Macaca fascicularis: one gene and its partners. The protein of the gene in region 5 interacts with the protein of the main gene of each other region in a biochemical or structural test. Links are inferred from orthologs where the notes say so. Each region holds a gene or a part of one and is shown on either strand. Other genes may lie near its edges.

What was found.
Region 1: the proteins of TRIM28 (region 5) and CBX5 form a complex in vitro, tested with the Homo sapiens proteins (6 studies listed by BioGRID, with this or other methods). The link is inferred for Macaca fascicularis from reciprocal best matches to the Homo sapiens genes TRIM28 and CBX5.
Region 2: the proteins of TRIM28 (region 5) and CBX3 form a complex in vitro, tested with the Homo sapiens proteins (2 studies listed by BioGRID). The link is inferred for Macaca fascicularis from reciprocal best matches to the Homo sapiens genes TRIM28 and CBX3.
Region 3: the proteins of TRIM28 (region 5) and IRF1 form a complex in vitro, tested with the Homo sapiens proteins (2 studies listed by BioGRID). The link is inferred for Macaca fascicularis from reciprocal best matches to the Homo sapiens genes TRIM28 and IRF1.
Region 4: the proteins of TRIM28 (region 5) and melanoma-associated antigen C2 form a complex in vitro, tested with the Homo sapiens proteins (3 studies listed by BioGRID and IntAct). The link is inferred for Macaca fascicularis from reciprocal best matches to the Homo sapiens genes TRIM28 and MAGEC2.
Region 6: the proteins of TRIM28 (region 5) and FBP1 form a complex in vitro, tested with the Homo sapiens proteins (2 studies listed by BioGRID). The link is inferred for Macaca fascicularis from reciprocal best matches to the Homo sapiens genes TRIM28 and FBP1.

Annotation. Positions count from the first base shown.
Region 1 is NC_088385.1:61,123,384-61,128,081, forward strand, and holds the start of CBX5 (chromobox protein homolog 5), read right to left. Parts: upstream 3,043-4,698; 5' UTR 2,928-3,042; intron 1-2,927. Other genes in the region: HNRNPA1 (heterogeneous nuclear ribonucleoprotein A1), read left to right, coding at 3,727-3,741, 4,308-4,424. UniProt on the Homo sapiens protein: Component of heterochromatin that recognizes and binds histone H3 tails methylated at 'Lys-9' (H3K9me), leading to epigenetic repression. In contrast, it is excluded from chromatin when 'Tyr-41' of histone H3 is phosphorylated (H3Y41ph).
Region 2 is NC_088377.1:104,102,701-104,107,308, forward strand, and holds the start of CBX3 (chromobox protein homolog 3), read right to left. Parts: upstream 3,043-4,608; 5' UTR 2,918-3,042; intron 2,730-2,917; exon of another isoform or gene 2,014-2,729; intron 1,499-2,013; 5' UTR 1,471-1,498; coding exon 1,447-1,470; intron 1-1,446. Other genes in the region: HNRNPA2B1 (heterogeneous nuclear ribonucleoproteins A2/B1), read left to right, coding at 3,909-3,914.
Region 3 is NC_088380.1:139,015,026-139,019,822, reverse strand, and holds the start of IRF1 (interferon regulatory factor 1), read left to right. Parts: upstream 1-1,755; 5' UTR 1,756-2,006; intron 2,007-3,040; 5' UTR 3,041-3,045; coding exon 3,046-3,132; intron 3,133-4,496; coding exon 4,497-4,596; intron 4,597-4,797. UniProt on the Homo sapiens protein: Transcriptional regulator which displays a remarkable functional diversity in the regulation of cellular responses.
Region 4 is NC_088395.1:148,298,006-148,301,790, reverse strand, and holds melanoma-associated antigen C2, read left to right. Parts: upstream 1-1,511; 5' UTR 1,512-1,564; coding exon 1,565-2,686; 3' UTR 2,687-3,043; downstream 3,044-3,785. UniProt on the Homo sapiens protein: Proposed to enhance ubiquitin ligase activity of RING-type zinc finger-containing E3 ubiquitin-protein ligases.
Region 5 is NC_088393.1:66,277,219-66,281,983, reverse strand, and holds the start of TRIM28 (transcription intermediary factor 1-beta), read right to left. Parts: upstream 2,995-4,765; 5' UTR 2,700-2,994; coding exon 2,360-2,699; intron 2,036-2,359; coding exon 1,923-2,035; intron 1,697-1,922; coding exon 1,564-1,696; intron 126-1,563; coding exon 1-125. UniProt on the Homo sapiens protein: Nuclear corepressor for KRAB domain-containing zinc finger proteins (KRAB-ZFPs).
Region 6 is NC_088389.1:128,433,244-128,437,815, forward strand, and holds the start of FBP1 (fructose-1,6-bisphosphatase 1), read left to right. Parts: upstream 1-1,530; 5' UTR 1,531-1,846; coding exon 1,847-2,016; intron 2,017-4,572. UniProt on the Homo sapiens protein: Catalyzes the hydrolysis of fructose 1,6-bisphosphate to fructose 6-phosphate in the presence of divalent cations, acting as a rate-limiting enzyme in gluconeogenesis. Plays a role in regulating glucose sensing and insulin secretion of pancreatic beta-cells.

The sequences.
Region 1 (4,698 bases), on a different chromosome or scaffold from region 5:
ACTCTGTCACCCAGGCTGGGGTGCAGTGGCACGATCTTGGCTCACTACAACCTCTGCCTCCAGGTTGAAGCGATTCTCCCATCTCAGGTTCCTGAGTAGCTGGGATTACAGGTGCCCACCAATATGCCTGGCTAATTTTTGCGGGGGTTTTTGTTTTTTGTTTTGAGACGGAGTCTCGCTCTGTCACCCAGGCTGGAGTGCAGTGGTGCAATTTCTGCTCACTGCAACCTCCGCTTCCCGGGTTCAAGCAATTCTCTCTGCCTCCCGAGTAGCTGGAATTAGAGGTACCTGCCACCACGCCCACTTAATTTTTTTGTATTTTCAGTAGAGACCGGGTTTCACGATGTTGGCCAGGCTGGTCTTGAACTCCTGACCTCAAGTGATCCACCCACCTCAGCCGCCCAAAGGGCTGGGATTACAGACATGAGCCACTGCGCCCGGCCCAATTTTTGTGTTTTTAGTAGAGACGGGTTTCACCATGTTGGCCAGGCTGGTCTCAAACTCCTGGCCTCAAGTGACCCGCCCACCTCCGCCTCCCAAAGTGCTGGGATTACAGACGTAAGCCACTGGCACCAGATCAAGTGGTAAAAATTTTAATAAAAATTTCCTTTTATCAAATGGAACAATGATCAATTCTGTATCTAAGGAGATAAACATCAGGATTTAGCGATCCATTTACCAAAGGCCACTCCCTAAACACTTCAACCATCTTCTCTCACTTTTACCTATTTTCCAATTGGTAAAATAATGGATTTTGAAAAAATAATAAACTCTAGCATTTTATTTTTATTTTTTAGCAATGGGATCTTGTTGTGCTGCCCAGACGAGTGCAGTGGCTATTCACAGGCATAATCATTTCACACTGCAGCCTTGACCACCTGAGCTCAAGCCTCCTGCCTCAGCTTCCATAGTAGCTGGGACTACAGGAACACGAAACTGTGCCCTGCATACTCCAGAATTTTGGGAGAATGATTTTCAACCGAGGGAGATTTTATCCCCGATCCCTACCTCTCCGGACATTTGGCAATGTCTGTTAACAATCTGATTGTCACAAATGGGGATGTGGCGAGAGGTGCGATGTTACTGGCATACAGTGGGTAGAAGCCAGGGATTTTGCTAAATATTTTACTATGCACAGGACACCCCGAATACCCTTAACAAAGAATTATTATCTGCCTCAAAATATCAACAGTGCTAATGCTGAGAAATCTTGCTGCAGGTTAAGACTGTATTCCTTTCAAACCTAAATAAATCCAGGACAGATACCCTTAACCAGTATCACTTTAGTTCTCAGAAGCTCAGCAACCCCATTACTAGCATACCTACAAATAGGTTTAAAACCAGGGATAAATTATATATAAATACTTTATCCTTTTGCTAGTGCCAGAGAACATGGAAATTTTTCCTCTGTTCATAAACTGCTATTAAAATCGTTTGTCTTTGGTATAAAGTCGGAAAGGTCTCTAGTCATAAGTGTACTTCATAGGTAGTTGATTTTCAGTATTTAAGTATTTTCCCTTGATCCTGAATTATTGAACAAAGCAGTAAGACTCTGATACAGCCAATGTTATCAAAATTTATTTATTTCTCCAAAAGATCCTGGAATAAGCAGAGGGGGCATTACCAAAAGGAGATAGACTGCATGTAAAACACACTTCGAAGGAAATCTAATTAAAAGGCAAGGAATAATCCAGGTGATGGATGAGTCTTCTGTCCCCAGAACCCTAAATATTACCCTCTTTAAGCGTTTCTTTTTTAATCCAAAGTCAGATATCCTCAAATGAACATCAAAATGAGGGGTTTTAGGATATCTTTAATGGTGTAAAGAAAGGAAATGTATGAGAGGGAAAGTTCCCGGGAGAAAGAGACTAAAATAAAAGCACTGGGCACATGGATTATATAAATCAGAAAAAGGGTGGTAAGTATGTGATTATGATTAGAAACACAAAACAATTGACTTCATTTTTTATTTAATTTTAATCACAAATCATTAATCTTGCAAAGTTTTAAACATTAAAGAACCAGCCTGCCTCGATCCTACTGTGTCCCTAGGACTGACACACTTTGGTGTGTAGCTTTGGAAAACTTTTCTATGGACCTACAAACATATTGTTCGTGGAAATATGCACTATCAGGATATAGAGATTTCTCCTATTCGTTCTAACATTTTAACAGTCTTCCTAAAGAAGCGACTTCTGAAAGTATTATAAAAAAACAAACAAAAACCTCCTCTGTTCCCCAAACCTCAAGTGGTGAGGAGGCGGGGGAAAAATGGTCAAGTCGAGGAATACACGAGGAAACTTAGGCTTTCAGGGAGGTGTATGGGACTGAGGCCTAAAGGCTCCGTTAGAACATTAGAAAAGTCATTGTGGATAAAACATTCATCCTCACACGCCATTACAGGCACCGACTCCCCTTCCTCACAACCCCAAATCGAAGACCTCTCTCTTTTGGAGAGCCGATTGGACGACTGGTCCCAGTGCTTTCCTTAGGCTGTCCGTCTACTGGCTCCAGATTCGTTCCATCCGTTTAACCGCCCGATCCCGCATTCCCCATTGGAGTCAAACCGCTGCCTCCTGGAGAAGCCCAACCTACCGCGCGCTTCCTGCTCACTGGCTCAGTGAGACGCTGCTCAGAAGGGGAAAACCCATCTCCCACATTCCGATGGCCCAAGGGCCGATCAGTCGGCAGCTCAAGGCACACCCAATTGGCCTATACACAAGCCAGTCAAAGTCTTCGGCTGCACAGCTCCCAAGAACCTACAGGGATTAAAACATCCCGCCCCCTGTTCTCCTATTGGTTGACCCGATCCACCGCTGCCCCTTGACTATCCCCCACCCCGCGGTCCATTCATTTCACACAATAACGGGCCCAAATGGAGTCAGTTCAAGACCTACTATGGGTAGATAAGACTGTCTGCCACTTACCCGGGATTGAGAGTGATCACTCACGCTAACGTCTGCCCTGTTCCTGTTTGGTGAGGCCGCACCACTAGCCACCACCGCCGCCGCCTTCTGCGCAACGCCAACCGCCCGCCAAAACGGATCCTTCCCTGCGCCTGCGCAACCAATCCTGGGACCGGACCTTTTTTCTCCGCCCACTGCGCATGCGCAAAGCTAGAACCAACTCCCGCCAACACGCAGGCGCCGTAGGTTCACTGCCTAGTCCTGCCCGCCATTTCACGTGTTCCCAGAGGCAGGTGGAACTTCTTAATGCGCCTGCGCAAAATTCGCCATTTTGCTACACGTGCGGTCAACAAGCGTTCTTTGCAAAAAAACTGTGACCTCCTGGCTGCTTGTCTAATACATAGTGTTAATCATGCTTTGCCAAGCGACTTGACTGTAATATTTACGCGTGGAAGATGAAAAAGGCGTTAAACACCCCAGGTAGATTCAAACATGAATGATTGGTCGGTTGGCCAATCAGACTGGTTAACAGTAATATTACTCGAGAACCAATTGACTCCAAGGGGTGGAGACGCGTAGAACGCCCAAAGGAATGACGTTACACAGCAATGTGGCACCACAGGCCAATAGCAAGGGGAAGCGATTTCAAATGTCCAATCAGAGCTGTTCCAGGGCGGAGTCTACCAATGCCGAAAGCGAGGAGGCGGGGTAAAAAAGAGAGGCCGAAGGTAGGCTGGCAGATACGTTCGTCAGCTTGCTCCTTTCTGCCCGTGGACGCCGCCGAAGAAGCATCGTTAAAGTCTCTCTTCTCCCTGCCGTCATGTCTAAGTCAGAGGTGAGTTAGGCGAGCTTTCCAACTTGAATGTTTTTCGTCTCCCTTTTCTGAATCGGTAAGATGCGGCTTGGTTTCGTTCCTTGCACCAGCCGATTCTACAGTTAACTTCGGTCGCTGCCAAGGCCTACCCCTCCCAAAGTTCAAGTCGCCATTTTGTCCTCTTGATCGCCATGAGGCCGCTCTCCGCCAACCACGAGTTATCACGCGGGACTCGCTACTCGTAGCAAAATTCTTAGGCACACAGGATCTTTGTCTTTTTTTAAACCTTGCCTTGGTGAGCGAGATTTCTGAAGAGCGGTTAGTCCCATTATGGAGATGCACCCCTCCCGCCCAAGCCTTTGTTGCGCGTGCGTCGGAAGACGACTAGAGACGCATGCGCTTGCGATTTCCCAGCACTCCCAACCCCCAGCATACTGCCTCCCTTGGTGGGGAGAAGCACGTGGCCTGTTGCGACCTGAACAAACAATAAGTGCTAGGTACACAGTTGGTGTCTAGTTTTTCTTTTCCTTGATGGAAATTGTTTCGTGTTGTAGTCCATTTAACACTTCCCCCTTCTCCCACTCCAGTCTCCTAAAGAGCCCGAACAGCTGAGGAAGCTCTTCATTGGAGGGTTGAGCTTTGAAACAACCGATGAGAGCCTGAGGAGCCATTTTGAGCAATGGGGAACGCTCACGGACTGTGTGGTAAGAATTGGGACAAAGCAGTAAAATAGCCGAGATTTCCTTGGCATATCTTGGTGCAGTCCTCTCTGAATGCTTATGAAAGTTGTTAGTAGCATTATGGTTAGAGCTTTGTCGACAAAGGAATATTCTGCTTTGATTTTAAAAGCTACCTGTTAAATCTAGGGTAGTGGGAAACTGGACCGCTTTTCATAAAAGGCTGGTATAAAGTTTCCTATTGCCCTATTCAAAGTTAAAATGACAAAAGCTTCTGCGGTCAGACTTTGTTACATAAATT
Region 2 (4,608 bases), on a different chromosome or scaffold from region 5:
AGTCAGGTCTTATGATTCTCATTAGTCAAGATACTTGAGTACTGGGCCCAAACAGATTTCTGTCATTGTACAGTACAAGAAGGTAGAAATAATAGTGGGAGAAGCAAAAACAAATTGGAAGAGACAGAAGTGTATTAGATACCTATACTACATGAAAAACAAAACAGCTACTGCCACAAAGGGAGAAGGCTAACAAAATAAAGAAGTAAAAAATAAGTATAGAAAATGAAAAGGATACATACTAAGGTTAAAAAAAAGAAAAAAAAAAGGGGCAGACAAAATACCATACAGTATTTACTACTATGGCATTCATAAGCTAGTTTCAAATGCTCACCATTTTCTTTTGTAGTATATGTTTGGCTTAACCCAGTACTTTTTTCCAAATGTGGATTTGAGTCAAAATAAATTTCCCATTATTTAAGTGAAATTAACAGTACATATATCTCACAACACTAATGAATTTTTAAAATGAAAAGTTAAAAAAAGTTTTAAAGTGGCCAACCTGTGATCCCTCACAAAATAAACTATTTAAATACCAATAAATAACAGACCCCAAAGAGTATCAATTGCATGCAAAAACAAATTCTGTTTTCCAGGGTATCTGACTTAACATAGAATCTAATGATGGCACAAATTAAAAATCACCAACGTGCCCTTTCTAGTGTGAAACCCAGAGAGAACATATACAGACCAAAAACAAATGCTTTACTTTACCTAGGAGACATTAACATTCACCTTTACGCGCTTAAGATTAATGCAATATGTTGAGAGTTAAATATTGTGAAAACTGTAACTTTGAATTTCATGATTTTTATGTGAATATTCCAAGGTTTTAAAAAACTTGTAACATGACATAGCTGAAGAAGATACAAAAAATCTAGCCTTTTCTCCCTTCTGGATCGTATTTGCTATTTCGATCATTTTTTTTAAAAAAAACAAAACACCGCAATGAATTGTATTCAAGATTCTTCTATATTTCAGAGTAAGTTAAAACAAGATAAAGTGACCAAAGCCATTTGAAAGATTCACTAACTTGCTCCAACCTAGGTGCACAAGGTACCTGGTTCTTCAAATTTGGCTTTAATGAAAATACTTCTCCAGAATTCTGGGGATTTAAGGAAAATTATGCCAACCAACAAGGGCTTTATTATTTTATGTAATATTTTGCAAAAACGTGGGTATTTCTATCTGAAGATAAAAATCCTCAGCAAAATCCACATTGCACTGTCCTTCAAAGATTAAACTAGTTAAGACGCTATTAAGTCAAGTCAGCAAGTATCTCCATGTAATGAATTCGTTTTGCTCCTAATTTTCCCCTATAATTATACTGGGAGAGCTGGGAAATATGTCGATGTAAATTTCTCAACCACAAAGATGCAAAGTTATACTTTGGGGGAAAAAACCTTGGGTTAAATCCTTACATACTTTAGCTTTTCATTAACTTACCAATGTAGTTTTATTGGAGGCCATTTTTTATTGCAGACTTGAAGAACTATTACTAGAAAAATGCATGACAGTTAAGAGAAGTTTGCACGACACAAAAAAGGTAACTAAATACAAGTTCTGTTTGGATTCCAACCCCCAAGTAGGGAGCGCACATTTCAAACGTTGATACAAATCCAGAGTAGATTTGCGCTCCTACCTACATTGCTTATGATGCACGTAAGTACGTGTTCTAAACATGTGAGTCTAGAAAGACTTTACTGGGGATCTTGGTACCTAAGGCAGCTTCACATGGCTTAACATAGGGGACAAATATCTTTTCTAATCTAAATCCCATTTGTAATCAAGTCCATGTTCCATTTTTAAAGGACAATCCTTTCGGTTTAAAACCATGCACGATTACCCAAACAACTCACAACTGTAAACCCCTGTGAATCTTCTCTGTTCTGCAATCCTAAGTTTGTTTCTGCTCAGAAACCCTCTCTTTTTCCAATCAGCAGTTAACTAACTAAAGGAAAAAACTTAACGATGCTTCAACCCCGTTTCGTGACACTTTGAAGACGCAATCACCTTTTGCACACACCCGCTCCCCCTCCGCCTCCGACCCTCTCCGCTGGAGCTCTGCGTCCCGAGGCCTAAGCGCAGCTGCCCGCCCCCACCCGGGAGCGCGGGCCTCGTGGTCAGCGCATCCGCAGGGAGAAACAAAGGCCGCGGCGCGGGGGCTCAAGGGCACTGCGCCACACGGCACGCGCCTACCCCCCGCGGCGGCCACGTTAACGGGACGGCCGCCGCAACCTCGGGACAGTCGGCCGCGCGCCGCCAGGCCTCGCGGACACGGGACCACGCGCCGCCCTCCCGGAGGCCCAAGTCTCGACCCAGCCCCGCGTGGCGGCTGGGGGAGGGGGCGCCTCCGCCGGAACGCTGGTGGGGGAGGGGAGGGAAAATGCGCTTTGTCTCGAAATAGGGCGACCGTCGCCACAGCTCCCTACCCCCTCGAGGACCGAACAGTCCCCCCACTAACTGCCGGCGCCGGCCCCGAGCCAGGTCAGCCGCGAGGCCACCGCCCGACCCTCTCCACTCCTTCCCGCAGCTCCCGGCGCGGTGTCCGGCAAGGAAGGGAGGGGAGCGGAGAAGCGGGCCCCCGGGGCGCGTGCAGCATCTGATGCACCACCACCGAGCGAGGGCTAGAGAGAAGGAAAACCACCGACTTCACCGCCTCTGAGCTGCTCCGGGTCGCGGGTCTGCAGCGTCTCCGGCCTTGCGCGCCTACAGCTCGAGCCACATCCGAGGGGTGAGGGAGCCGGGAGCTGTGCGCGGGGCCGCCGGGGGGGGGAGGGGTGGCACCGCCCACGCCGGGCGGCCACGAAGGGCGGGGCAGCGGGCGCGCGCCCGGCGGGGGGGAGGGGCCGCGCGCCGCACCCGCTGGGAATTGGGGCCCTAGGGGGAGGGCGGCTGCGAAGACCGCGGCACTTACCGTTCGCCCCGTGGCGCCTGGTGGTCCCCAAGGGGAGGGAGGGGGGAGGAGGGGCGAGGACGGTAACCGGAGTCTCCTCAGCGGTGGCTTTTCTGCTTTGCAGCCTCAGTGCTGGCGCCAAAACCGGACTCCGCCCACTTCCTCGCCCCTGCGGTGCGAGGGTGCGGAATCCTCCAAACGCTTGGGGAGAGAGAGTTGGGAGCTTAAAAACTAGTACCCCTTTGGGACCACTTTCAGCAGAGACCCCTCCTGTACCCCAGGGGTCAGCTGCATAGACGCGGGTCAGGGTTAGGTCAGTGTGGCGTGAACGATAATTTGACTAGAAGTTGATTCGGGTGTTTCCGGAAGGGGCCGAGTCAATCCGCCGAGTTGGGACACGAAAAACGAAAAGGGAAGGCTCATATTATACTACGATTTTTCTGGCGGGGGTTATCAAAGGCGTAGCTGCAGGGACCACCTCCCAGGTTGAGAGGGCTGGAACTCCGGGCTCCGGATTAAGCTCCTCCCGTCGGCGTTAATTTCAAACTGCGCGACCGTTTCTCACCTGCCTTGCGCCAAGGCCGGGGGCGGGACCCTATTCCGAGAGGTAGTAACTCGCGGGACTCGAGCCTTCCGCAATTCACTGAGCGCATTTACGGAAGTAACGTCGGGCACTGTCGCTGGCCACAGGAGGGGGAGGAGTACGCATTTGGCGTAAGGAGGGGCGTAGAGCCTTCCCGCCATTGGCGGCGGTTAGGGCGTTTACGCAACGGCCTGACGTAGAGGAAGACGCGTTAGTGGGGGGGAAGGTTCTAGAAAAGCGGCGGCAGCGGCTCTAGCGGCAGTAGCAGCAGCGCCGGGTCCCGTGCGGAGGTACTCCTAGCGGTGTTGTTTCTCGAGGAGAGGCAGTTCTCACTACAGCGCCAGGACGAGTCCGGTTCGTGTTCGTCCGCGGAGATCTCTCTCATCTCGCTCGGCTGCGGGAAATCGGGCTGAAGCGACTGAGTCCGCGATGGAGGTAACGGGTTTGAAATCAATGAGTTATTGGAAAGGGCATGGCGAGGCCGTTGGCCCCCTTGTGGAAGTCGGCCGGCCGCCTCCGTGGGAGAGCGGCAGGAAATCGGACCGCTTCAGTAGCAGTGGGGCTTGAGGTTTATGAACGGGGTCTTGACCGGAGGCCTGAGCGTACAAACAAGCTTCCCCACCCTCGGCCTCCCGGCGCCATTTCCCTTCACTGGGGGTGGGGGATGGGGAGCTTTCACATGGCGGACGCTGCCCCGCTGGAGTGAAAGTGGGGCGCGGAGGCGGGAATTCTTATTCCCTTTTTAAAGCACGATGCTTTGGGGGCCACGGCGTCTCCGCGGCGAGTGTTTCGGCGGGCAGCGGGTACCCGTGAGCGAGGCTGCGGAGCTTCCCCTCCCCCTCTCTCCCGGGAACCGGATTTGGCGGCCGCCATTTTCATGGCTCGCCTTCCTCTCAGCGTTTTTCTTTTAATTCTCTTATTCTTTTAGTGTGCTTTCTCTGTCAAGGCATAGAAGTGGTTAACTATTTTTCTTTCTTCTCGGGCTCTTTTCATATCGTTTCGAGGTGGATTTGGAGTGTTTTGTGAGCTTGGATCTTTAGAGTCCTGCGCACCTCATTAAAGGCGCTCAGCCTTCCCCTCGATGAAATGGCGCCATTGCGTTCGGAAGCCACACCGAAGAGCGGGCGGG
Region 3 (4,797 bases), on a different chromosome or scaffold from region 5:
GTCACTTGTTTTCTCTCATTCTTGCTCAGAAGGTCTTGGTCCCTGTAGCAAGTCCCCACTCCCATTTGTCACTTAAAGTACCCCAAACCCCATCTTTCCATTCCAGAGTGTCATTGCCCTCCACTTTGCTTAACACTCAGTTAGGTTCCTTCCTCAGTTTCTTCTACCTCCTTTCCTCTCCTAGCTCCTGACTCACCTCTATCTGGTAGACAGTTTTGCCCATTTCTGCTGGTACCGATGCCAGGTTTGGCATCGGTCACAGCACTCAGATTGCAATACACCAGAATAGGATTAACCCATGCATTTCCTCTACGGGAGGGAGGTAGTAGAGTGACTGGCAAGTCGAATGTTGCATGAGTGTGTCTATTTATAGCCCGCAAAATGGGGTGCTGCCCTGCAGGGACAGCTGGAGTGAAGGAAATGACACGCCTGGGAGAGTAACTTACTTCTGAGTCAGGAGCTTTAGAGAGATGAAGGAAGAAGCCTCCTGGGCCAGAGTTTTGGATGGAAAATGAACACCCAGTCAAGTCTCTAGGACTATAAGTGGGGCGGGGACTAGTTGTGAGCGCGAGTTAAGTAGGGGCCCTTACCAAGGAACATAGGACCTGGGTTCCCCAACCCTTTCGCTAGGTCCATGGCGTTGATCAGCCCTGAGCTAATTCCTCCATGCTGCCCAGAACCTCTCTGGGCCAAGCCCTGGGGACTCAGAGATGACAGCAATACTTCCATTGAGGAACTCCCATACGCGGGCCACAGGGAGGCTCTGGAGGCGGCCTGTGTATTAGGAGGGATCAGAACTACCCCACCCCCACCCTCACTCAGCCATCTGGGCTTCTCTGAACCCCTTCTCCTCCTCTGTTCCCTAAGGCCAGCCAGGGGGAGTCCCAGGGAGGCAGACCAAAAAGGGGTGGGGTGTCATCCTGGTCACTATTAGACCCTGGAACGGCGACCTTGAAAACTACTCAGCGTCTGTTGCCCGAGTGGAGCATAGTGCTTTACAATCACAGCAAACCATCAAGGTAGGGCTACTGTTATTTTATGGTTGAAAAACGGAGGTCCTGAGTCCCTTGGGGGCTGTGCCAGCAGCGGCCAAGTTGAGATTTCCCCTGGTTCAGCAGCCCCAGACAGCACACGGTGCAGGGTAGGCTTTCTGCTTCCTTCACTTCCCCAGGGCAGGTGAGTGACCTGGAGAAAGGGGGTCACCCCTAAAAACAGGGGTAGTGCTAGGACTGAAACTCTCCCTTCTTGATACCCCACTGGCAAGCTTGAGGAGCCAGGTTGCCAGTCGGGAGATTCGGCCGGTGTTCCCCCTGGAGAGGGCGGCAAGTGCCCGGGCGATCCCCTCACCTGCGTTCAGGAGATAGACCCCCGCCCCCAACCCGCCAGGAGGGTGAAAAGATGGCCCCAGGAGCCAGCCGGCTGGGAGAAGGCGGAGTGAGAGGAGAGGCTGGGGCCGGGGGTGCCGGGCTGTCCAGGGCAGCCCTCCTCCGGGCGAGCCGGAGCAGGGGTGGATGGGGAGCGCGCGGGGCGGGCCCGTGGTGGCCCCGGGGCGGTGGCGCCCGGCCGGAGAGGGTGGGGCGGAGCAGCCGCCCTGTACTTCCCCTTCGCCGCTAGCTCTACAACAGCCTGATTTCCCCGAAATGACGGCACGCAGTCGGCCAATGGGCGCCCGCGCGGCTGTCCGGAGGCGGGGCCGGCCAGGGCTGGGGAATCCCGCTAAGTGTTTGGATTGCTCGGTGGCGCCGCTGCCCTGGCAGAGCTCGCCACTCCTTCGTCGAGGCAGGACGTGCGCCCGAGCCCCGCCGAACCGAGGCCACCCGGAGCCTTGCCCAGCCCACGCCAGCCGTGCCCAGCGGCCTTGAGACCCAGACAGCCTCTGCCTTCTTCCCCCTTCCACCCGGAGTCGCGCTCCGCGCCCCCTCACGGCAGCCCCTGCGTCGCCGGGACCTTCGCGCGCCGCCGCCGGGACCTTCGCGCGCCGCCGCCGAATCGCTCCTGCAGCAAAGGTGAGTCCGCTTTTGCGGCGCGGGGGACCGGCGGCGTCGAATAAAAGGCGCGCGGGGCACCAGGAAGTGGGGGTTCGAAAACCCCAGGTTGGAGACTCGCGGGAGCGCGGCGTTGCCCGGGCCCCCGCGCGGGCTCCGGGGGGCGCCGGAGGAGCTGCGAGCCGCGGCGCGGGGAGGGCGGGCCGCGGCGTGGACCGCCCACCCGGACGAGGCTGCCGGCGCCGGGCAGCTTTCGCAGATATGCGTGCGCGCAGCCGCTGGGGGCCTGTAGGTGGCCCGCTACGTTCGTCCCGCGCATCCACACGCCGTGCCGGGGACCGAGTGTCCGCCCACGCGTGGGCGCCCAGTGCTCCCGGCTTTCGGCGGTCCCAGCTTCGCGCCCAGGCCCCAGGTTTTGGGCTCCCTGTGCTGGTGACAAGGGCTGGCTTACTGCCCAGGTGGCTGGAGGGAATCGTGACCTACGGAGACTGCGGGAAGAGGCGCCACAGGTGTTCCTTGGGCCGCTTCTCCAGAGGAGGGGAAACCGGGCCGGAAGGGTTAGCGTCCTAGTCTTAGCGTAGTGGGCTCTGTGACTGTCAGGAGGGCGTAGAATGGATTCAGGGGGGCTGTTCAGGGTGATGGCTAGCCCTTTACTAGCTAGTGGTGACAACTCAAGTCAAGGGAATTTCTTCTTGGCATCAAGCAAAAGAAGTCCCTCCCTTCCCAAAGGATTTGAATTTTGAGCGAAAAGTTCTGAAATTAGGATATCTGTGCATTTTCTCTCTTTTCCTGCACATGAATCCTAAAGCCATCACTTGCATGCCTGTCTCATCCAGAGACTGGCTGGGATGGAGGAAGGGGCAGAAGCATTTTTGCCTAAGATGCTGAAAAAACTTGGAGAGCAGTTTTATTCCAGGGCAGCTCCCCTCCCCACTGAGTGTAGTACCTAGTAGCTGGCTGAGGGGAGGGTAACTAAGTGAACTCGGGTGGGGCAGGTCAGTGCCCAGGTACTGTTCAACAGATTCCAGACTGGAGCCTCTGTCTTCTCTTTACAGCCAACATGCCCATCACTCGGATGCGCATGAGACCCTGGCTAGAGATGCAGATTAATTCCAACCAAATCCCGGGGCTCATCTGGATTAATAAAGTGAGTGTAACTCTTTGGGTTTTCCTGCCACTGTTTTAACCCATGTACTTCTGGAGGGACCAAAGCTTCAGATGCAGCTCAAAAAGGGAAGTGATAACAGGACAGGCAGATGTTTCTCCCAATGGGTCCTGCATGCAGGGAGGGAGTGTGCAAGGCCCAGCCTGGGCCTCACTTGCACGACTCCTGCTTTCTTCCCTTCTTGAGGTAGGGCACCCACCTGAAGGCACTTCCAGTTTCCAGCAGCAAGACTTTCCCAGCATCTGCAGAGCTGGAGTTCTGGTCTCCTCTGAGGGAGACCCTTACAAACATACACAGCACCTTGCAGGGCTCTAATCAAACAAATAGAAGACTTGAGAAGTGGATGCTGCTGGGCAGAAAGGTGGCTGGCTTAGCAGAGGACAAACGAATCAATCTTGCACCAGTCACTGTGGCCCAAGAAGCCTATAGCTGGTGCACTTGGGGCAACATAGACACTATAGGCTTAGTAGCAATGATAGTATTCATAATAATAGCTAATGCTTACTGAACACTCTCTGTGTGCCTGGCACCTGCTACGTATGTTATTTACATTGTGTCATTTAATCCTCGCAGTAGTCCTGTGGGGTAGGTCCTGTTCATGTCATCATTTTCAGATAAGTAAACAGAGGCACTGAGAGGAAGATTGTAAGATCACACAAAAAGTGATGAAGCCAAGATTTGAACTTGAATGGTCTGACTCAGAAATCTTTACTGTTAACCATCAGTGATAATAACAGTAAGACCTTAGACTTCATATTTGTCACTGTGTCCCTACACATTCTCTGGTTTTTAATTCTCAAAATTTTGTTGGATATGTTTTCTCATTTCAGAGAAGAGAAAACTGAGGGGAAAAGAGATACAGTGACAATGCCAGGGTTACACAGTGTTCACCATCCAAGTCTAGCTCCCTCAGTCGTATGACCAGGACCTCTTGTGTAGAAGCCCATGGTCCCAGGTGTCCTGAGGAGTCCTTTCTAATGGAAGAAGTTCTTACTTCCATGTTGGTGTTTACAAGCCAGAGAGAAACATCCCAGAGCTTCAAAATCAGGGCTTTGGGGGAGGGTGCCCTGTGTGGGTCCTAGCACATGTGTAACAGGCAGAGGGAGGTCTTTGTGAGCTAATAGTGCTGCAGCTCATCCGAACTAGGAGTCCCTCCTGAGAGATCCCGAGTGGTCTGTTTAAGCCAGCCTAAAGATGGGTCAGTCCAAGCCAGATGGCAGGGGGAAAAGGGGAAGTCAGCCTTTTCTCAGACCTGTCTGGCTGGGCAAGCCTGGGTCTCAGACTCAGCCCCAAAGTCTGTGGCCTCTGAGCTGACACAGCCTCGTGTATATGTGTGTGTTGTTCAGGAGGAGATGATCTTCCAGATCCCATGGAAGCATGCTGCCAAGCATGGCTGGGACATCAACAAGGATGCCTGTTTGTTCCGGAGCTGGGCCATTCACACAGGTGTGTGCCTGGGACTCAGGCCTAGGAAGGCCAGGGTAGAGACAAGAGGAGGCACTAACGTTAACACAGAGGCTCTTCACTGGGGTCCCTGAGCTCCCTGAGACAATATGCAGAATTACTGGGAACAGGGGCTGGTGGCAGACTAGTGTTTCTGGAGAAGAGAGTCCATCATTTCAGCAAATTCTCAAAGGGATTTCTAAA
Region 4 (3,785 bases), on a different chromosome or scaffold from region 5:
AGGCTGCACCAAGTCGCTCCCTGCTGACACCCCTGGAAAAAGGAGGGTGGGATGTCAAGGACTGGGGAGGTGGGAGTGAAAAGGTCCACAAGGTTTAGGGAGTGAGCAGGAAGGGTTGGAGGGCAGCTGGGATGTGGGAAGGAAGGGATGGAAAAGAAGCGGAGAGGTGGGGAGTGGTTCCTTCTCAGAGAGGAGGCCCCGCCCCACGTTGACGCTGCCGTCAGCCCTGGACCACTACGGCCGGGTTCCCGGATGTGCTTTCCAGACGGCCATCTTGGGAATCTAAAGGATCGGAGGCATTTTGCAAGGAGATTCGAATCAAGTCAGCTGCGGGGAGTCTTAGACCTGGCCAGTCCACAAGGTGAGGGCCCTGAGGAAGAACTGAGGGACCTCCCACCATAGAGAGATGAAATCCCGGCCTGCACTGCCGCTGCAGTGGGACTGGTAGGTCCCAGACAGGAAAATGCCCACAGAAGAAGGGAGGAGGTGCCAGCCCTCTAGGGAATAAATAGGAAGACATTGAGGAGGACTGGGGGAACCCCCATCTCAGAGGACAGATTCCCACAGATTCCCACCCTGCTCCTCGAGAATCAGCCCTCGTAGAACTCCCCTGCCAGCTCAGGCTGAGTGGCAGCCATCTCATTTCTGGGTGAGGGGTGGAGGGGAGGCAGAGGCCTTGTTCTGGGGGTCCCGTGGCAAGTCAGCACGGGGAGCTGCCTCTGGTTGGCAGAGGGAAGATTCCCAGGCCCTGCTGGCGATAAGACAGAAGACAGGAGTCACATGTGCATCAGAACGGACGTGAGGCCACCCAGACCACCTCCATGGTAGAGTCCTGGGAGGTGGCTGCCACTGCACTACCTCCCACTGCTCTCAGGGATGTGGAGGTTGCTAGGAGGTTTTGCCTTAGGCCAGCAGAGTGGTGGGGGCTTGACCCTCTCTGAGAAGCCGTGAGGTTTCCAATTAAATTCTGAGGGGGCCATGCAGTCCAGAACTATGGGGCTCTGGGATTCTGGCCAGCCCCAGCTGTCAGCCCTGGGAGGCCCAAGACTCTACTTGTAGTCTTTAACCTGAGGGGCTCCGTCACTTCCTCTTGCAGGTGCTCCAGGAACCAGGTGGTGACAAACTGGGTGTGAGGCACACATCCTAAAGTCAGCACAGCAGAGGAGACCCAGGCAGTGCCAGGAGTCAAGGTGAGTGCACACCCTGACTGTGTACCAAGGGCCGTACCCCCAGAAACAGAGGAGACCCCACAGCACCCGGCCGTACCCACCTACTGTTATTCCTGGGGTCTCAGGCTCTGCCTGCCAGCTGTGCCCTGAGGTGTGTTCCCACATCCTCCTACAGGTTGCCAGCAGACAAACTCCCTAGGAAGACAGGAGACCTGTGAGGCCCTAGAGCACCACCTTAAGAGAAGAAGAGCTCTAAGTTGGCCTTTGTCAGAGCCATCATGGGTGAGTTTCTCAGCTGAGGCCATTCACACTGTCACTCTCTTCCACAGGCCTGTTGGATCTCATCATCCATATCCCTGTTGATACCTTTACCTGCTGCGCCTGAAGAAGTCGTTATGCCTCCCATTCCGGGCGTTCCATTCCACAACGTTGACGACGACTCTCCGGCCTCAGTTGAGTCAGAGGACTGGGTAGATGCACAGGATCCCACAGATGAGGAAGAGGAGGAAGCCTCCTCCATTTCCTCTTCCACTTTCTACTTAGTATTTTCCCCCTCTTCCTTCTCCTCATCCTCTTCTCTGATTCTTGGTGGTCCTGAGGAGGAGGTGCCGTCTGATGTGATACCAAGTCTTCCCGAGAGCACTCCCAGTAGTCCTCCACAGAGTCCTCCACAGGGTCCTTCCCAGAGTCCTCTGAGCTCCTGTTGCTCCTCTTTTTCATGGAGCTCATTCAGTGAAGAGTCCAGCAGCCAAAAAGAGGAGGATACAAGTACCTGTCAGGGCCTGCCAGACAGTGAGTCCTCTTTCACACATACACTAGATGAAAAGGTGGCCGAGTTAGTGGCGTTCCTGCTCCTCAGGTACAAAGCAGAGGAGCCTGTAACAGAGGCAGAGATGCTGATGATTGTCATCAAGTACAAAGACTACTTTCCTGTGATACTCAAGAGAGCCCGTGAGTTCATGGAGCTCCTTTTTGGCCTTGCCCTGATAGAAGTGGGCCCTGACCACTTTTCTGTGTTTGCAAACACAGTAGACCTCACTGATGAGGGTAGTGATGATGAGGGCATGCCGGAGAACAGCCTCCTGATTATTATTCTGAGTGTGATCTTCATAAAGGGCAGCTTTGCCTCTGAGGAGGTCATCTGGGAAGTGCTGAATGCAATAGGGGTGTATGCTGGGAGGGAGCACTTCATCTATGGGGAGCCCAGGGAGCTCCTCACTAAAGTTTGGGTGCAGGGGCAATACCTGGAGTGTCGGGAGGTGCCAAACAGTTCTCCTCCATATTATGAATTCCTGTGGGGTCCGAGAGCCCATTCAGAAAGCATCAAGAGTAAAGTACTAGAGTTTTTAGCCAAGCTGAACAACACTGTCCCTAGTTCCTTTCCATCCTGGTACAAGGATGCTTTGAAAGATGTGGAAGAGAGAGCCCAGGCCATGACTGATACCACAGATGATGCCACTGTCATGGCCACTGAAAGCCTCAGTGTCATGTCCAGCAACCTCCCCTTTTCTGAGTGAAGTCTAGGATAGTTTCTGCGCTCTGTGTTTGAACAAGGCAGTTTAGGTTCTAGGTAGTGGAGGGCCAGGTGGGGCTCGAGGAACATAATGTTCTTTGCATTTCTGTCCCATATGGGCGATGTGGAGATTTACCTGTTTTTCAGTACTTTTTGAATGCTTTTCCTTTGAATAGCAGGTAGTTAGCTTCAGAGCATTAATTTATGAATATTGGTCACACATGTATTGCTGTTTATCTGGTTTAAGAGTAACAGTTTGATATTTTGTTTAAAAAAAATGGAAATACCTTCTCCCTTATTTTGTGATCAGTAACAGGGTAGTGTGGTATTGTAATAGGCTTTTTGTTTGTTTGTTTGTTTGTTTGTTTGTTTTTTACAATACGCAATAACTCAGCAGTTAAATAGTGGGACAACGTGAAGGATGGTCAATATTTTCATTTCCTTGTCCTGCTTATTCTTTTGTTCTTGAAAATTAAAGATATATACCTGGCTTTGCTTAGCTTGTTGAAGAAAGTAGCAGAAATTAAATCTTAATAAAAGAAAGCCCCACTGACTCCTTTATTTGCTGAGCATTCTTTCAGTATTTGCTTGTGGAAGTCACTGTTAGTAGTGGGGATGCTAATGAAAGCATGACTTATCTCTATCCATAAAACAGTAGAGTCTAGGAGCAGAAGCCATATCAAGAAGGTGGTAAGATGTTCTCTACAATCTAAAGAACAAGTTAAAAAGGGGCTGGGGAGGTGAGACTCCACATGCAAGCCTTCAAGTGTAAAGGTCTTGAGCTAAGGCAGCTTGGGGCTTTGGAAAACTGCAGTTGCTTTTCTGAGGGCTGGTAGTTACAAAGCTGGGTGGTGGCTGGGACCAGACTCTCGGAGGGTGAGGGAAGAGCCTGGAATGGGGAATTGCTCTGAGCAGTTGCTTCTGGGTGGAGGATGAAGCAGAGAGGAGTCTCCACATGGGGAAGTAATGGAAGGTGTCCTGTGGCTCTGTAACTGGTGAGTTTGAACACAGTGCAAGAACCAGGTGATTGATATCCATCATCTGCAAGGGTTTCCTGAGAAATGTAGTGATAATCCCTTGAAGTGGTGCCCAGAAGCCTCTAG
Region 5 (4,765 bases):
GTGGGCATTGAGCTGGCAGTCTCGGCAGGTGAGAGTATCACAGCTCTCACAAAACAGCACAAGGGGTTCATGCTTGTGTACGTTGCAATAGACGGTACGTTCACCATCCCGAGACTTGGCTGGCCCTGGGGAGTCGGAATCATAAGGCTGGACCTTGCCCTTCACCACCCCCAACTCAGGAAGCAGACTAAGTTGGGGCCTCATTTCCTGCCCATTCTGTGACACTGGGCCATTTATTGGGAAGATGTAGAGGGTGTGGCCAGCGAAGAACACAGGCCTGCAAGCCCAATTCCTTGCTCCCAGAAACCTCTGCCCCAACATAGCTGAGAAACACATCCCTTTCTTCTAGCTTCTAGAGGTGACACAAAGGTAAAGGTAAGGACAGCCTCCGGAAAAAGAGGACTACCCCCCCACACACACTGTTCCCTTTATTCTCCAAGTGGACATATTCAGAATTCTGCCTACAAACCACCCTGGACTCCTTTTCTTCTCCTTTCATGGTTAACTTCCTCCCTCTTTCGTGACAAGAAAACACCAGGGTCTCTTACAACCCAAGAGCCCAGAGAAAACCTGTAGAGGTTCTCATACTGGGAGAGATAAAATGTCAAACTAGGACCCTCAGAATGGTGGTCACACCCCCTCTAGACCAGGAGCTTGGTGCTCAGCATAATTCCACCCCAAGACCAACACATTAATAACCTTCAAAGCCTGCTTCCCCATTAGAAAACCGATTAAGCATAGTGGTCCAACATACCAACCAAATCCAAAATACGTAGCATCAGGGCTCACTGGGGAAACTGACTTCCCCAGTGCCACCATTCCTGCACCCTGACCTTTGCTTGGGACGTCTGGAATGTAGGACACCCTGCAGCCCCTGCCTATCCCTCCTGGCTCCTCAGGCCCCACAGCCGCCACTTTCCCACTATCTTCCACCAATGCTGGCCTCTGGGATGGGAAGAATCACGGTATGGCTACCAAAAGGCCACTCATGGGAGGATTTTGGCCCAAAAACTGGGCTACACTCAAAAGACTCTCAAGCTCCTTTCCAAATCAAAGCTAGCGAGTGTCTGCGAAAAGCTGGAAATGCCAAACCAAACTCCGGGTAAGTCTCTGCCAACTCAAAAGCTAAAACGTTTCCAGAAATCACCATCACTTATAACCCATGGACCCACAAAGTCTCATTTTCCCTAACAGCGTCTTATACCAGATGTGTGCCAGGGAACCACAAACCCAGTAAGCCCTTCACACCATGCCTTTCCCTGTTTGCATATTCTGAGCCCTTCAACACCAGGACTGAGAACTCCCTGATAAGCTTCCTCAAACCCTCTGTACCTCCCTGCAGCACATTAAGGTCTCCACGTCTCCCCTTCCCACCCCCTCCCACCTAAGCCCTAGAGACTACACACCACAACCACAATTTTCCTGCTTTTGGAGTTCTGCTCTCCGGCCCTTCGGGCGGCACCCCCTGGACAACTCTAGGACCCATCCACCAAATGCAACCAACATTATAAAAGCAACTGAGGGCACACACGGGAAAGCAACAGCCCCCTCAGCCTCACGTACCAGTAGAGCGCACAGTGTGATCCTTGGTGTACTTCACCCGCTGGTGCGCCTCTACACAGGTCTCACACAGAGGCTCCGAGCACTCCACACAGTAGCTGGTAGCTGGGGCATTATCCTCACAGCTAGTGCAGCACTGCCAGACAAAGGCAGGGTCAGAGAAAGCAAGACAACTTGCTAGATCCACATCTACACCTCAGAAAATACAACCCAAGATTAAGATTGGTCCCTTGACCCAGCCTAGACAGCCCACCCAGAGCCTTGGGAAAGTCGAGTAACAGCCTGGGAGCTGGTGTCAAGCTCCTCCTGGGCAGATGCCCCCTCCCCAGAAACCTCCCTGTGGTTGCTGCGGTTGGACGCACCTGGTTAGCATCCTGGGCGTCGGTGGCAGCCTTGCTGCCACTATCACGCATGAAATAATTCTCCACGATGTCTTTGGAGAAGCACTGTTGCTTGCACACGGGACAGTCCACCACTTCAAGAGGCAGGGATGTGGGAGACTGTTACAAGTTCCCACCCAAGTTATGGCCCCCCGCATCCCCGTGCTGGGTGGGCCCCCGACCATTACCCCGCAGCGAGCCAGCCCCTCCCCTCCCCGAGCCCTTTCTCCAACTTTAGTCAGATGTCTCATCTCAGCGGCCAGCTCAAACCCACGTTCCTATGCAGGACCCAGAAAGTACTCCCCGTGCACTGTCCGGGCCCCCATCCTCTTGCCCAGGTGGCATCCTCATCTCTGCACCCAGTGGGAATCAAAGGCAGAGAGTAGGGGGAGGGGTGGCCCCGATCACTTCGTACTTACCGGCGCCGTCGCCCGCAGCCCCGCCGTCCCCGGAGCTGTTGGCGGCGGCGGGCGCCGCGGGCCCTAGGCAGGCACTACAGGCCGAGTGCAAACAGGGCAGCAGGCGGGGCTCCCTCTCGGGTCGCAGGCGCTCTCTGCACACGCCGCAGTGCTCCAGCAGCTCCAGCGCCTCGGCGCCGCCCCCCGCGGGCGACGACACCGAGGCCGAGGCCGAGGCCGAGGCCGCGGTCGAAGAAGCGGTGGAGCGCTTTTCGCCGCCAGCGGAGCTCTCGCCCGGGCCCGGGCTGCCAGAGGCGGCCGAGGCCGCTGCTGCCGAGGCTGCCGCCGCCGAGGCCGCCATTCACACGCCGCCGGGGGCGCCCAGGGGGGAGGAGGGGCGCGGGGCCCGCCGCGCAGGCGCAGACGCGCTCGCCGCCAACTGCTGGGCCGCCGCCGCCGCCGCGAGGCCGAGCACCGCCACGCGCCTCCTGGGCCGCTGCCCGCCGCGCGCGGGACGCTGCTGCGGCACCGCCAACTGCTGCCTGCTCGCCTCCCGAAGGCGCCGCCCGCGCTTCTTCCTCAGCCGCCGCCGAAACCCTCACCACGCGCCACAAGCACAAGCACAACCGCTCGCCCGCGCGCCCGCTCGCAGAAAGAGCCGAGGCCGGGGGGCGGGACAGAAATAACTGGCGCCGACGCCGCCGCGCACGCGCATTGGGCGCCGCACGCCCGGGGGCGGGGCCCAGGCCGGTCGGGGCGGGAGAGGCTGCCAGTACGCACGCGCCCACTCCGGGTCCTTCCACCACGGCCAACCCCACGTCGGTGGGGTCTTGTGGGGGCGGGGCGGTCCCTCTGTGACGTCACTGCCGCAATTTAATCCGCCAGTGGGGTGTGCGCACCTTTATAGAGTGTGATTCCCCTCTCAGCTCCACCTCCAGACCACACCGAAGCGGGCCGCTGTGCGCCCAAGCGCATGGGCAGTCCGTAACTCTTCCTCAACCCGCGTCTTTTCGCTCGCGTAGAGTCGTCTCCAGCCTCTGCGTCACTAAGCGTTCGGGATAGGGGGCAGGGCCAATGGAGAAGTAGGCGGGGCCAAGACGGAGTAAAGGGCTGTGCCCCGGGAGAGGGGAGGACAGGCTCCATCCCAGGAGGGAGGAAGCGCCTGTGTGAGAGCAGGGGCTGACTTTTGAATTTTAACCACGTTATAGTTAAACTTGAGAAACACAGAAAGTTGCCTAAATCAAATGTAGATCACAGACGGGCGCCGTGGCTCATACCTGTAATCCCACCATTTTCTTAGGCGAATCGGGAGGCTCCGTTTAGCCCAGGAGGCCGGGGCAGCAGTGAGCCGGGATTGTGCCACTGCACGCCAGCCTAGACAACAGATCGAAAAAAATGTGGCCGGGCGCGGCGGCTCACGCCTTTAATCCCAGCACTTTGGGAGGTCGAGGCGGGTCGATCACCTGAGGTCGGGAGTTCGAGACCAGCCTGGGCAACATGGTGAAACCCCGTCTCTACTAAAAATACAAAAATTAGCCGGGCGTGGTGGCGGGCGCCTGTACTCCCAGCTACTCGGGAGGCTGAGGCAGGAGAATCGCTTGAACCCGGAAGGCGAAGGTTGTAGTGAGCCGAGATCGTGCCATTGCACTACAGCCTGGGAGAAAAGAGCGAAACTCCATCTCAAAAGAAGAAATCTTTTTGTGTTTGTTTTGAGACGGAGTTTTGCTCTGTTGCCCAGGCTGGAGTGCAGTGGCGCGATCTCGGCTCACTGCAACCTCTGCCTCCCGGGTTCAAGCAATTATCCTGCCTCAGCCTCCTGAGTAGCTGGGATTACAGACATCCGCCTCCACACGCCCGACTATTTTTTGTATTTTTAGTAGAGACTGACTTTCACCACTTTGGCCAGGCTGGTCTCCAACTCCCCACCTCAGGTGATCAACCCGCCTCGACCTCCCAAAGAGCTGGAATTACAGGTGTCAGCCACCACGCCGGCCCCCCTACCGCCCGCCGCAAAAACACACACACAAACTATAAATCACAAGAGGCTACAGAGCAATGAGTCTATGAAATCCCATCCAGCCCCCCAGGCGTCCCGTCCGCATGATTTAGTCAGTGGCTACCCTGACTTTGATGCTTTTCCAGATGGGGAAACTGAACCTCAACAGTGGGGAATCCCCAGGAGGGAAGGAAGCGGGTCCGTGTGGGGAGAATCCTGTCTGAGGAGGAAAGTAGGGTTTGTGTGGGGAGAATCCTGTCTGAGGGAAACAGGGTCTGTGTGGGGAGGTGAACCCTGTCTGAGGAGGGAAGCGGATCTGTGTGGGAAGAATCCTATCTGAGGAGGGCAGCAGGGTCCGTGTGGGGAAAATCCTGTCTGAGGAGGGAAGTAGGGTCTGTGTGAGGAGAATCCTGTCAGTAGGGTCTGTGTGG
Region 6 (4,572 bases), on a different chromosome or scaffold from region 5:
TCCGGCCTTTGTGTGGCGGCGGCGGACTCTGTGTCAGCGACCGACCGTTCACATCTTGGAAACTCAGATCCTCAATAGCTCTTGAATTCCAGGAATCCTGAGAAGAGGCCTGGATTAAGGATTTCGTCGTGGGCCCTCAGATGGGTGAGAAACGGGGAACCCGTGTGTCCCAGCGGGGACGGAGGGGCAGTGACAGCACAGGCAGGTGGACAGGGGGGCAGTGACAGGATGGGCAGGTGGACGGGGGGGCAGTGACAGGACGGGCAGGTGGACGGGGGGGCAGTGACAGGACGGGCAGGTGGACGGGGGGGCAGTGACAGGACGGGCAGGTGGACGGGGGGGCAGTGACAGGACGGGCAGGTGGACGGGGGGGCAGTGACAGGACGGGCAGGTGGACAGGGGGGCCAGTGACAGCACGGGCAGGTGGACGGGGGGCAGCACAGGCAGGTGGACAGGGGGGCCAGTGACAGGACGGGCAGGTGGACAGGAGGCCAGTGACAGCACAGGCAGGTGGACAGGGGGGCCAGTGACAGGACGGGCAGGTGGACAGGGGGGCAGTGACAGCACGGGCAGGTGGACAGGGGGGCAGTGACAGGACGGGCAGGTGGACAGGGGGGCCAGTGACAGCACAGGCAGGTGGACAGGGGGGCAGTGACAGCACAGGCAGGTGGACAGGGGGGCCAGTGACAGCACAGGCAGGTGGACAGGGGGGCAGTGACAGCACAGGCAGGTGGACAGGGGGGCCAGTGACAGCACAGGCAGGTGGACAGGGGGCCAGTGACAGCACGGGCAGGTGGACAGGGGGGCAGTGACAGCACGGGCAGGTGGACAGGGGGGCAGTGACAGGACGGGCAGGTGGACAGGGGGCCAGTGACAGCACAGGCAGGTGGACAGGGGGGCAGTGACAGCACGGGCAGGTGGACAGGGGGGCCAGTGACAGGACGGGCAGGTGGACAGGGGGGCAGTGACAGGACGGGCAGGTGGACAGGGGGGCAGCACAGGCAGGTGGACAGGGGGGCCAGTGACAGGACGGGCAGGTGGACGGGGGGGCAGTGACAGGACGGGCAGGTGGACAGGGGGGTAGTGACAGGACGGGCAGGTGGACAGGGGGGCAGTGACAGCACGGGCAGGTGGACAGGGGGCCAGTGACAGGACGGGCAGGTGGACAGGCCTGGGCAGGGGCCGGGCAGGAGGCCGCGCGGGCGGGTCTGCGGAGCGGGGGCTGCTGGGGGTTTCGCTGCCCAACTGGGGCGCTGAGCAAGTTACTCAACCTCTGTGAACTTCCGCGTCATGATTGTGGAGGAAACTCCTGCAAAGAAACAGCTTTTCTCTCCGGCGGGTCCGACGGCCCGAGCCCCGCCCCGCAGCGCAGATGGAGGGCGCGGAGGCTGCGAGGGCGGCGCGGGGAGGGTCCGAAGATCCGGCGGGCGGAGCCGCGGGCTGGGCGGTGGGAGGCGGCGCGGGGTGTTCCCGGGGGCGGGGGCGGGGCCGACCCGCGGCTAAAGGTTCCCGGTTCACCCGCCCGCGCCCGGCCTGGCCCAGTCTCACCGCGAGCGCCGCGGACACTCGGGGCCGCAGTCGGTCTGTCCGTCTTCCCGCCAGGTCCCGCCCCGCACCTGCCGCCGCACCTGCCCCCGCACCTGCCGCCGCACCTGCCGCCGCACCTGCCGCCGCACCTGCCCCCGCACCTGCCGCCGCACCTGCCCCCGCACCTGCCCCCGCACCTGCCGCCGCACCTGCCCCCGCACCTGCCGCCGCACCTGCCCCCGCACCTGCCGCCGCACCTGCCGCCGCACCTGCCCCCGCACCTGCCCCCGCACCTGCCGCCCCGCGGCCCGGCCCCAGCATGGCTGACCAGGCGCCCTTCGACACGGATGTCAACACCCTGACCCGCTTCGTCATGGAGGAGGGCAGGAAGGCCCGCGGCACGGGTGAGCTGACCCAGCTGCTCAACTCGCTCTGCACGGCCGTCAAAGCCATCTCCTCCGCTGTGCGCAAGGCCGGCATCGCGCACCTGTGAGTCGCCTCGGGCGGGGCCCGTCTGTCTGTCTGTCTGTCTGTCCGTCCGCCCGGGGAGCCTGTCCGGCGCTGGGCCCTCTGGTCCTCCTGCGTCAGCCTCTGTCCGTCCGTCTGATGTCCGGGCGCCTCTCTCGCTCTCCGTCTGGTGGCCCCTCTCTGCGGAAGCTGGCTCAGCCTCACTCAAGTTCTCACCCCCTCCCTTGACCTTGGAGGGGCCACCTGGGGGTCCGTCTCGCAGGTGCACGCCGGATTCCATCCTCGTGCCCCTCTCAGCCGGCACCTGGCCTGCCCGTCATACCCGCCCTGGCCTCAGACAGGAAGTGCTGGCTCAGGTGCCTTCCGTCCCCATCTCTTCTTTCTCTCTTTCTGTGATGAGGCGCCCAAGTCAGGTTTCTAATCCAGTATCTCTGACCCGAAACGAGACTTGTTAGGAGCGAGTGTCCCCCTCCCAAGCAGGCTGGGAGGTCTCCTGTGTGTCCAGAGCCTTTAGGAGCAGCCTGGTGTGCAAAGGAGCTCCCGTGGGCTGCCCCTTGCTGGGACCGTTGCCATGCTGTGCCAGAAAGAGGAAACACCCAGGGCTTCAAAACCCTAATCCATTTGCAATGACGGTGTGTGCAGCCCCCACCCAATTAGTGGAAAGCTCAAAAGTTGTTTGTAGAATGGTTTCGAATGCTCTGTGGGGTGCATCTCGAACGTCACTGGGCACCGGAATCATTGGGGATCTTGGTAAGACGTGTGCCCTCTTTCCGTCGCTCTGGGACGGGTCCTGAGATTCGGCATTTCTGAGAAGTCCTCCTGTGGTGGATGCTGCCCGTCAGATACTGTGTGTCTGCTGATCTCATTGTGAGTAGCAAGGGGTCAAGGCGAGGGGAGACTCAAAGGACCCCTTCTTGTGAGGTTTTTGTAAGTCACACAACATCCTTTCGTTTGTGTTGGTGTGCACAGGTATTTTCTTTTTCTTTCCTTTCTTTCTTTTCTTTTCTTTCTTTCTTTTTTTTTTTTTTTGAGACGGAATTTTGCTCTTGTTGCCCAGGCTGGAGTGCAATGGTGCGATCTTGGCTCACTGGAACCACTGCCTCTCGGGTTCAAGCGATTCTCCTGCCTCAGTCTCCCGAGTAGCTGGGATTACAGGCATGTGCCACCACGCCCAGCTAATTTTGTAATTTTTTTTAGTAGAGACGGGGTTTCTCCATGTTGGTCAGGCTGGTCTCGAACTCCCGACCTCAGGTGATCCGCCTGCCTCGGCCTCCCAAAGTGCTGGGATTACAGGCATGAGGCACCGTGCCCAGTCGTGCACAGGTGTTTTCTAGCTAACTGATCCACACTTTTAACTAAACGGTAACTGGGTTTTCAGATTGTCCATACACCTTCCTAACATTTCCTGCACTTACGTACGCTATAAAAATGACACATGATGGACCGGGCGCGGTGGCTCATGTCTGTAATCCCAGCACTTTGGGAGGCCAAGGCGGGTGGATTGCCTGAGGTCAGGAGTTCAAGACCAGCCTGACCAACATGGTGAAACCCCGTCTCTATTAAAAATTCAAAAATTAGCTGGGTGTGGTGGTGTGCGCCTATAATCCCAGCTACTCGGGAGGCTGAGGAAGGAGAATTGCTTGAACCCTGGAGGCAGAGGTTGCAGTGAGCCAAGATCGCACTATTGCACACCAGCCTGGACGACAAGAGTGAGACTTCATCTCAAAACAAAAGACACATGATGCTCAGAGCTGACCTGAACAAATATAATCCCACTACTTTGGTTTGGAATGCATGTCTCCATTTTTAAAATCTCTTCTCCGCCCCCCATCCTGCAATCTAGATTCCTCTTCTTACTGGGAGGCTGTCTGGCGTTGGTCCCACAGTATGGATTGGCGGAGATCATTCATGTAAAGGAGTTGTATGATCACATTTATTTTTGAATATTAAGCAGACATGTTAAGGAAGGCGATGACTCCATTGCTGTTGCCTCTGGCCCCTCTTAATAATACATTCCTAAGGATTCTTACTTTAGAAACACACCCAGGTGAAATCTTATTCAAGCTTTAATTTACAGCTATTATAGGTGGCTCACAGCTTTAACTGCCTTTGAGGACCAGGGATATATTTTAAAAAGAGGGCTGTCGACTGGGTGCTCACACCTGTAATCCCAGCACTTTGGGAGGCCGAGGCAGGTGGATCACCTGAGGTCAGGAGATGGAGCCCAGCCTGGTCAACAAGGTGAAACCCCGTCTCTACTAAAAATAAAAAAATTAGCCAGGCTTGGTGGCGGGTGCCTGTAATCCCATCTACTTGGGAGGCTGAGGCAGGAGAATTGCTTGAACCTGGGAGGCGGAGGTTGCAGTGAGCCGAGATTGTGCCACTCTACTCCAACCTTGCGACAGAGTGAGACTCTGTCTCAAAAAAGTAAGTCTCAGAAAAGAAAAAAAAAAGGGCTTATCATGTCTGATAGCTTAAAAAATGGTCAGTACCTGTCACACTTCTAGAGAGACTTAGAAATGTAAGATGTGTTTTGAAGTGTCCCACTTCCTAAGTAACCTTAGATAGTGGGACCTC